Linked DNA regions of Sus scrofa. The protein of the gene in region 1 purifies or fractionates together with the protein of each later gene. This does not show direct contact. Links are inferred from orthologs where the notes say so. Each region holds a gene or a part of one and is shown in the gene's direction. Other genes may lie near its edges.

Region 1 (3,541 bases):
CTGGCATTGCTGCAGCCTCAGCATAGGTTACAGGTGCAACTCGAATTCAATCCTTGGCCCATATGCCATAGGTGCGGCCATAAAAATTAAAAAAAAAAAAGAATTAGTGGGGGAACTAAGGAGAGAATGAAAGAGTAATTGAGTAATCTGTGGTAACTATGGGTTGGGGGTTTTTGGGGAGACTGACTCTCTCCTCAACCCCTTCCTCTTCTTTTTTCTCTGCCTCCAGCGTCCTCTATTTCTCCATCCACCGCTATGAGCAGGGTCGGTTCTGGCCCCACCTTAAGGCCTCTAATTGGTCCACCACGGGTTTTGGCCAAGGCCAGGGATACACCATCAATGTGCCTTGGAACCAGGTCAATGTCCGCCCACCCTTTGCCCCCAACGTGAGGCCCACCCCGGCCTTTCAAGGTAGACAGCAGGACATCCCCATCATGCCTCCCTGTCCGCAGGTGGGGATGCGAGATGCCGACTACATTGCTGCTTTCCTGCACCTCCTGCTGCCAGTCGCCCTTGAGGTCCTGAGGGGCAGGGGTGTGTTGGGGCAGGGTATGTTGAGGGATGGGCCGTGAAGGCAGGTGGCCTCATGTGGTCCCTTCCCCCTGCAGTTCCAGCCCCAGCTGGTCCTGGTAGCCGCTGGCTTTGATGCCCTCCAAGGGGACCCCAAGGTAAGGCTGGCTCACTGGGATGGTGTGGGGAGCAGAAGGGGACCACGCTGACCCTCCACGTCCCCCGTAGGGTGAGATGGCCGCCACTCCGGCAGGGTTCGCCCAGCTAACTCATCTGCTCATGGGTCTGGCAGGAGGCAAGTTGATCCTCTCACTGGAGGTGAGTGACCCACTACGGCTCTCAGCCTGTGGAACCTGGAAGACAGAAGAACAACTTGCCAGGAGTTCCTGTCGTGGCACAGTGGTTAACGAATCTGACTGGGAACCATGAGGTGGCGGGTTCGATCCCTGAGTTAAGTGGGTTAAGGATCCCACGTTGCCATGAGCTGTGGTGCAGGTTGCAGATGCGGCTCGGATCCCACGTCGTAGCTGTGGTGTAGGCTGGCGGCTACAGCTCTGATTCGACCCCTAGCCTGGGAACCTCCATATGCCACACGTGTGGCCCTAGAAAAAGAAAAAAAAAGAAAAAAGAACAACTTGCCAGCCCAGCAGGTGTTTCTGTCCCATCATTTCCCCTCCCTAGCTGGGCAGCCTCACCTGTCACTCACCTTGCCTTGGGCCTCCATCTTCCTTAGGTAAAACAGGCATCATAATAGTGGTTACCTCATAGTGCTGTGCAGCCAGTGACACAAAGTCAGCCTTCAGAGCCTTGTTGCTTGACATGTAGTCAGCAACCCACTGTTACTACTCGCACCCACTAATGTCTGCTTCTTCGCTGACAGCCCTCACATTCCCCCTCCTAGGGCGGCTACAACCTCCGCTCCCTGGCTGAGGGCGTCAGTGCCTCACTCCACACCCTTCTGGGAGACCCTTGTCCCTTGCTGGAGTTCCCGGGCGCCCCCTGTCCCAGGTGAGCCCAGGTGGAGAAGGGGAGAAGCAGGACCCTCACTGCCCCACTCAGGGGCCCGTGGGTCACGTTGCCCTCCCCTTGCCCTCCAGTGCCCAGGCGTCACTATCCTGTGCTCTGGAAGCCCTTGAGCCCTTCTGGGAGGTCCTTGTGAGATCTGGTAGGAGGTGTGGAGGGTGCTGGGTGGGGGGGAGTTGGATGGGGGAATGAGCAGTGGGAGGTCCCTTGGTGGAGGTCCCTTCTCTCTCAGTGGGCCCTGGTTCCAGGCCTCGCCCCCTTTGGAGGTTTGGGTAAACTGAGTTCCAGAGTATTTGGAGAATCCAGGGTGGGGGGAGTAGGAGGAGGGTGACTGTGGCCTCCCCTTGCAGCTGAGACCCTGGAGGACGAGGACACCGTGGAGGGGGACCATGTGGAGGAGGAGGAGGAACCATGGCAGCCCCCTGAGCTACCGATGCTGGCGTGGCCGGTGCTGCAGGCTCGCACAGGGCTGGTCTACGACCAACAGATGATGGATCACTACAACTTATGGGACAGGTATGCAGTCAGAGAGCCAGGCGAAGTGGGGACATGGGGAGGGACCCTCCCAGGGAGGGACCCCCCCCTTCAAACACAAAGCCCCCTGCCTCAGGTTCCCCCCATCCCACCCCCAGCCACCACCCCGAGATGCCTCAGCGCATCCTGCGTATCATGCGCCGACTGGAGGAGCTGGGCCTCGCCGGGCGCTGCCTCGCTCTGCCCGCCCGTCCCGCCACGGATGCTGAGCTGCTTGCCTGCCACAGGTCGGACCCCGGCAGCTGGGGGTGGGGGTGTGGGATGGGCGTCCTGGGGGCTGGAGCCTGGGCTTGCCTCTCTGGTACACGGAGCTGCTGTGACACATGGGAGGGACACGGAGGGGACAGAGTTACCTGACCGTCCCCCCAAGTACCCCCCCACCCCCCACTGTGCCTCCAGTGCTGAATACGTGAGTCGCATCCGGGCCACGGAGAAGATGAGGACCCGGGAGCTGCACCGCGAGGGTGCCAACTATGACTCCATCTACATCTGCCCTGGCACCTTCGCCTGTGCGCAGCTGGCCGCGGGCGCCGCCTGCCGCCTGGTGGAGGCTGTGCTGGCAGGAGAGGTGCCTCCACTTTGGGGAGGGGACCTTAGGCTCCAGGAGAGGAAGTTCTGGGGGTGGGGGTGGGGGTGGGGGAAGAGGCAGCTCTGAGAATTTGGCCCGGCCTGAGAAAAGGGGGCGCTGGCAGCGGTCTGTGATGGGGAGGGGCCCCCAGCTCACCAGAGGCCTTGCTGGCGGGGGAGGCACCCCCAGGGAGGGATGGGGGCTCCAGGGCTGGGGCCCCCTAGCAGCTGGTGAAGTAATAGAGGGACCGGAGAGAGGAGAGAGGGGAGAGGAGAGAAAGGGAAGAGAAAGCGGTGAGGGTGCATGTTCTCATCTTTGCTCCCTGCCCCTTCCCCAGGTTTTGAATGGTATTGCCGTGGTGCGCCCCCCTGGACACCACGCAGAAAGGGACTCGGCTTGCGGTTTCTGCTTTTTCAATTCTGTGGCAGTAGCTGCTCGCCATGCTCAGGCCATCAGTGGGCATGCGCTGCGGTGAGGGCTCCCTGGCTCCCTCTCCCCCCACCCGGGGCTTACTCCTCAGGCCCGGCAGGGCTGCCCCCCGCCAAGTCACCCTGAAACACCCAAGGGCCCATCGCCCTGCGCTTTCAGAAAAGGACCAAGGATCTAGCCTTTCAGTGTTTTCCGGGATAGGACGCCAGACTCTGGCACCCAGATGCTTATAAAGCAGAATCCAGGGTCCCCTAAACCCAGAATTTCTGGCTGCTATGCCAACAGAACCTAGAGTGTCACGCCTTGCTGTGTCTCCCCTCCTTACTTCAAAAGACCCAGGATCCAGGAGTTCCCGTTGTGGTGCAGTGGAAATGAATCTTAACTAGTGAGATTGTGGGTTTGATCCTTGGTCTCGCTCAGTGGGTTGAGGATCCGGCGTTGCTGTGAGCTGTGGTGTAGGTCACAGATGCCTGCTCG
Region 2 (4,222 bases), on another chromosome or scaffold:
GAGCACCTACTATGCGTAGCAAAGCCCTAGGCAGACCTGGAGACAGACGCCCGAGGGCAGGCCAGGGCCCCCACCTGGACCCCTCTGCCCTGTTTCCTTTGTGGGAAAATTCAGCTTGTCACGGCCTCGGAGAAGGTGCACCTCCACGCTGCCCCGCTGGGCTTCCTTCGGCCACTCACTGCCCACTGGTGGCCCCCGCCTGGGTGCAGGCTCTCCCTGCTGGACAGGCAGTTCCCAGAGCAGGGAACCACTGGGAACACCCGGGGGCACCCAGGTCTGACCCCGTGTTTGGTGGAGAGACCAGGGCAGGAGTGGGCCCCAGCTGGTCCCTGCTGCCCCACCCCCCTCCCCCTAACTCCTCTCTGGCACATTGAATGTCCTTCCCCAGTCCTTGGTGGCCTCCAGATGGTCTAGGAGGGCAGTTCAGCTGTGGCTGCACGTGACAGACAGACGATGGATGGTGGGTCCCAGAGCTGTGCTCAGTGGCCCTGCCTGCCTGCAGCCAGCAGTGCTTGGCAGCTGCCTGGGTCGCCAGCTAATGGCCCAGGCTTGGCCTTGGCTGGGTGTGACCAGGCAGCCTCAGCCGCAGCCCAGCTCCATGGGAACAGCTTCTCTGCTCTACGGAGCCCACCTCTCCTGGGCCTGCAGCAAGGGAGGCCTGGAGCCCTCTTCACGGGGAACTTCCAGCCCCCAGCCCCTGGGGCCTGTCCTGTCCCTAGAGACTGCAGTCCTGAAGCCCCTGCTACGTGTCTCCAAGTCCCCTGACTCAAGCATGCCCCACCATAGCCCTCAAGCCCACGGTCTCTAAGTAATGTGCCCCCTTAGCAAGCTCAGCACCCCCACTTAGCAAGCTCAGCACCCCCAGTCGGGGCCCCCCCTTACCCAGGCTTTCTGGGCAGCAGAGCTAATGTCGCCAAGGGGAGGGTGACTCTCTCATCACTCCTTTCCCCCACCTGCTCCTTAAGCATGCACCCACAGCAACCAGGGACTCTCGCATCCGTGCTGACCCTTGCCCACAGGGGCGCTCACTGCTTTGGGGCATCCACATTCGGAGGGTGCCGGGGTGGGGAGACCCGGAGACCAGCAGGCCGGGTGCAGGCCTGGCCAAGCGGGGCCGGACCCGACACTGCTCAGGCGGGCGGCGGCCCACTGTTGGGGCCCAGCACCCAAGGGCGGCCGACGCCAAAACTCTCTCCCTCCTCTTCCTCAATCTCGCTCTCGCTCTCTCCTAGCCAGTCCATCTCCCTCCCTCTTTCTTTTTTTTTTTTTTTCTTTTTTTTTTTTTTTGCAAAAGGAGGGGAGAGGGGGTAAAAAAATGCTGCACTGTGCGGCGAGGCCGGTGAGTGAGCGGCGCGGGGCCAATCAGCGCTCGCCGTTTCGAAAGTTGCCTTTTATGGCTCGAGCCGCCGCGACTGCGCCCCATAAAACCCGGCGGCGCGACGCACAGCCACAGCCGAGACCGCGTCCACTCCGCCAGCACAGGCCCCTCGCCCTTGCCGCTCCGCCTTCGCCGCCGGTCTACACCGCTACCAGGTAGGGTCCCCGCACCGGCCGGGCCGCTGATGCGCTGGGCCCGTGCCTCTTGTGGGCAGGTGGCCCCCTCCGCCCCGGCCCCGTGGACAGCCGGCCGGGTGCCGGGAATGGACTCATGCGCTCCTCGTTCGGGGCCCGGGCTGCGCTCGGGGAGCGCTCCCAGAGTGTTTCTTTGGGAGCCCTAGCGGCGGCGATTCTTTGTCCGAGCGGGCCGATCGCTCCGCCGGCGGGAGAGCAGTGCAGCCGGGCGGCGGGGCGGGTGGGTGGGCGCGGCGCGGTGGCCGAGCCGGGTGGGGGCTGGGACGCCAGTGCGCGTGCGTGTGCGCCGTAGGCCCAGGAGGCGAGGGCGGGGCGGGCGGCCGGAAGGGGTGGGGTCGCCGCGGCGCGAGAGCGCCTGCGCGCACTTCCTCGCGGAGCCACGGGCCGCCCCGGGTGTGGTCGCCGCGCGCCCGCCGAGTGGCGCTTTTTGGGCGGGGCGGGGCTGGCGCCCAGTGGGGAGGGGGCGGAGGCCTGGCTTCCTGCCGCGCGCCTCGGGGCCGCCTCCGACCAGCGTTTGCCTTTTATGGTAATAACGCGGCCGGCCGGCTTCCTTTGTCCCCAATCTGGGCGCGTGCCGGCGCCCCCTGGCGGCTCGAACGCGCGTCGCGCCGGAAGTGAGTAGGGCGGAGGCGGCCGCACCCGGCCTCCGGCTCACGGTCCTGCTGCCCCTGCAGTTCGCCATGGATGACGATATTGCTGCGCTCGTGGTCGACAACGGCTCCGGCATGTGCAAGGCCGGCTTTGCGGGCGACGATGCTCCCCGGGCCGTCTTCCCCTCCATCGTGGGGCGCCCCCGACACCAGGTAGGGCGCCGCCCTCGGGTCTGACTTGGTGGGTGGGGTCTTGGTAGCAGGTGGAGGGAAGGGGGAGGCTTTCTGCGTGGGGGCCGGTGGGGCCGGGCCCGGGCTGAAGGCGCCTCGCCCCTCCTTCCGCAGGGCGTGATGGTGGGCATGGGCCAGAAGGACTCCTACGTGGGGGACGAGGCCCAGAGCAAGAGAGGCATCCTGACCCTCAAGTACCCCATCGAGCACGGCATCGTCACCAACTGGGACGACATGGAGAAGATCTGGCACCACACCTTCTACAACGAGCTGCGTGTGGCCCCCGAGGAGCACCCCGTGCTGCTGACCGAGGCCCCCCTGAACCCCAAAGCCAACCGTGAGAAGATGACCCAGGTCAGTGGCCCACTGGGCTCTCTCGGGCGGCCGCCCCCTCCTCTCTTGCCCCTCTTTGCCACGCCCTTTCTCACTTGTTCTTTCTTCTGCCATTTTCCTAGGACTTTTCTTCTCTGACCTGAGTCTCCTTTGGAACTCTGCAGGTTCTATTTGCTTTTCCCCAGCTGGAGTCTTTCTCGTGTTTGCCTTTCTGACTAGGTGTTAAAAGCATAAGGTGCTGTGGGTGTATAGGTACTAACACTGGCTCGTGTGACAAAGCCGACGAGGCTGCCGTAAAGGGGCCTCGGAGTGTGTATCCCGTAGGTGCACAGTAGGTCTGACGTGACTCCCCGACCTGGGGTCCCCAGCACACTTAGCCGTGTTCCTTGCACTCTCTGCATGTCCCCAGTCCGGCCTGACTGCCCCCGGCGGCTTCCCGAGGGTGACAGCGTCCCTCCCTCCCTCCAGATCATGTTCGAGACCTTCAACACCCCAGCCATGTACGTGGCCATCCAGGCCGTGCTGTCCCTGTACGCCTCTGGCCGCACCACTGGCATCGTGATGGACTCCGGAGACGGGGTCACCCACACGGTGCCCATCTACGAGGGGTACGCCCTGCCCCACGCCATCCTGCGTCTGGACCTGGCTGGCCGGGACCTGACCGACTACCTCATGAAGATCCTGACGGAGCGGGGCTACAGCTTCACCACCACGGCCGAGCGGGAGATCGTGCGGGACATCAAGGAGAAGCTGTGCTACGTCGCCCTGGACTTCGAGCAGGAGATGGCCACTGCCGCGTCCTCCTCCTCCCTGGAGAAGAGCTACGAGCTGCCCGACGGCCAGGTCATCACCATCGGCAACGAGCGCTTCCGCTGCCCCGAGGCGCTCTTCCAGCCCTCCTTCCTGGGTGAGGACGCAGCCCTGGCCCTGCCTTCCCCCCGCCCCCCCTGGCTCACCCGGTGGTGGCCACAGCGGAAGCTCAGTCGGGCTTCTCTCCCCCCTCAGGCATGGAATCCTGCGGCATCCACGAAACTACCTTCAACTCCATCATGAAGTGCGACGTCGACATCCGCAAGGACCTCTACGCCAACACGGTGCTGTCGGGTGGCACCACCATGTACCCAGGCATCGCCGACAGGATGCAGAAGGAGATCACGGCCCTGGCGCCCAGCACGATGAAGATCAAGGTGAGTGCCCAGCCTGAGCTGGCCGGGTGCGGCCGGGCGGCGTGGGTGCCACGGCAGCCGCCGCGGAGCGGGTGCTCTGGGGACCAGGGCTCTGACCGCCACCCGCCTCACTGTCCCCTTCTCCTTCCAGATCATCGCGCCTCCAGAGCGCAAGTACTCCGTGTGGATCGGCGGCTCCATCCTGGCCTCGCTGTCCACCTTCCAGCAGATGTGGATCAGCAAGCAGGAGTACGACGAGTCCGGCCCCTCCATCGTCCACCGCAAATGCTTCTAGGCGGACTGTTAGTTGCATTCCACCTTTTTCTTGAC

The links. Proteins that work in one complex are often made in the same cells at the same time.
Region 2: the proteins of HDAC6 (region 1) and ACTB purify together in Homo sapiens (affinity purification with mass spectrometry; 3 studies listed by BioGRID, with this or other methods). This does not show direct contact. The link is inferred for Sus scrofa from reciprocal best matches to the Homo sapiens genes HDAC6 and ACTB.

The regions. Positions count from the first base shown.
Region 1 is NC_010461.5:42,931,708-42,935,248, forward strand, and holds part of HDAC6 (histone deacetylase 6), read left to right. Parts: intron 1-229; coding exon 230-356; intron 357-452; coding exon 453-518; intron 519-608; coding exon 609-668; intron 669-738; coding exon 739-828; intron 829-1,411; coding exon 1,412-1,518; intron 1,519-1,607; coding exon 1,608-1,675; intron 1,676-1,883; coding exon 1,884-2,049; intron 2,050-2,165; coding exon 2,166-2,294; intron 2,295-2,466; coding exon 2,467-2,635; intron 2,636-2,972; coding exon 2,973-3,106; intron 3,107-3,541.
Region 2 is NC_010445.4:4,087,570-4,091,791, reverse strand, and holds the start of ACTB (actin, cytoplasmic 1), read left to right. Parts: upstream 1-1,408; 5' UTR 1,409-1,533; intron 1,534-2,246; 5' UTR 2,247-2,252; coding exon 2,253-2,375; intron 2,376-2,507; coding exon 2,508-2,747; intron 2,748-3,194; coding exon 3,195-3,633; intron 3,634-3,731; coding exon 3,732-3,913; intron 3,914-4,043; coding exon 4,044-4,187; 3' UTR 4,188-4,194; exon of another isoform or gene 4,195-4,222. UniProt on the Homo sapiens protein: Actin is a highly conserved protein that polymerizes to produce filaments that form cross-linked networks in the cytoplasm of cells.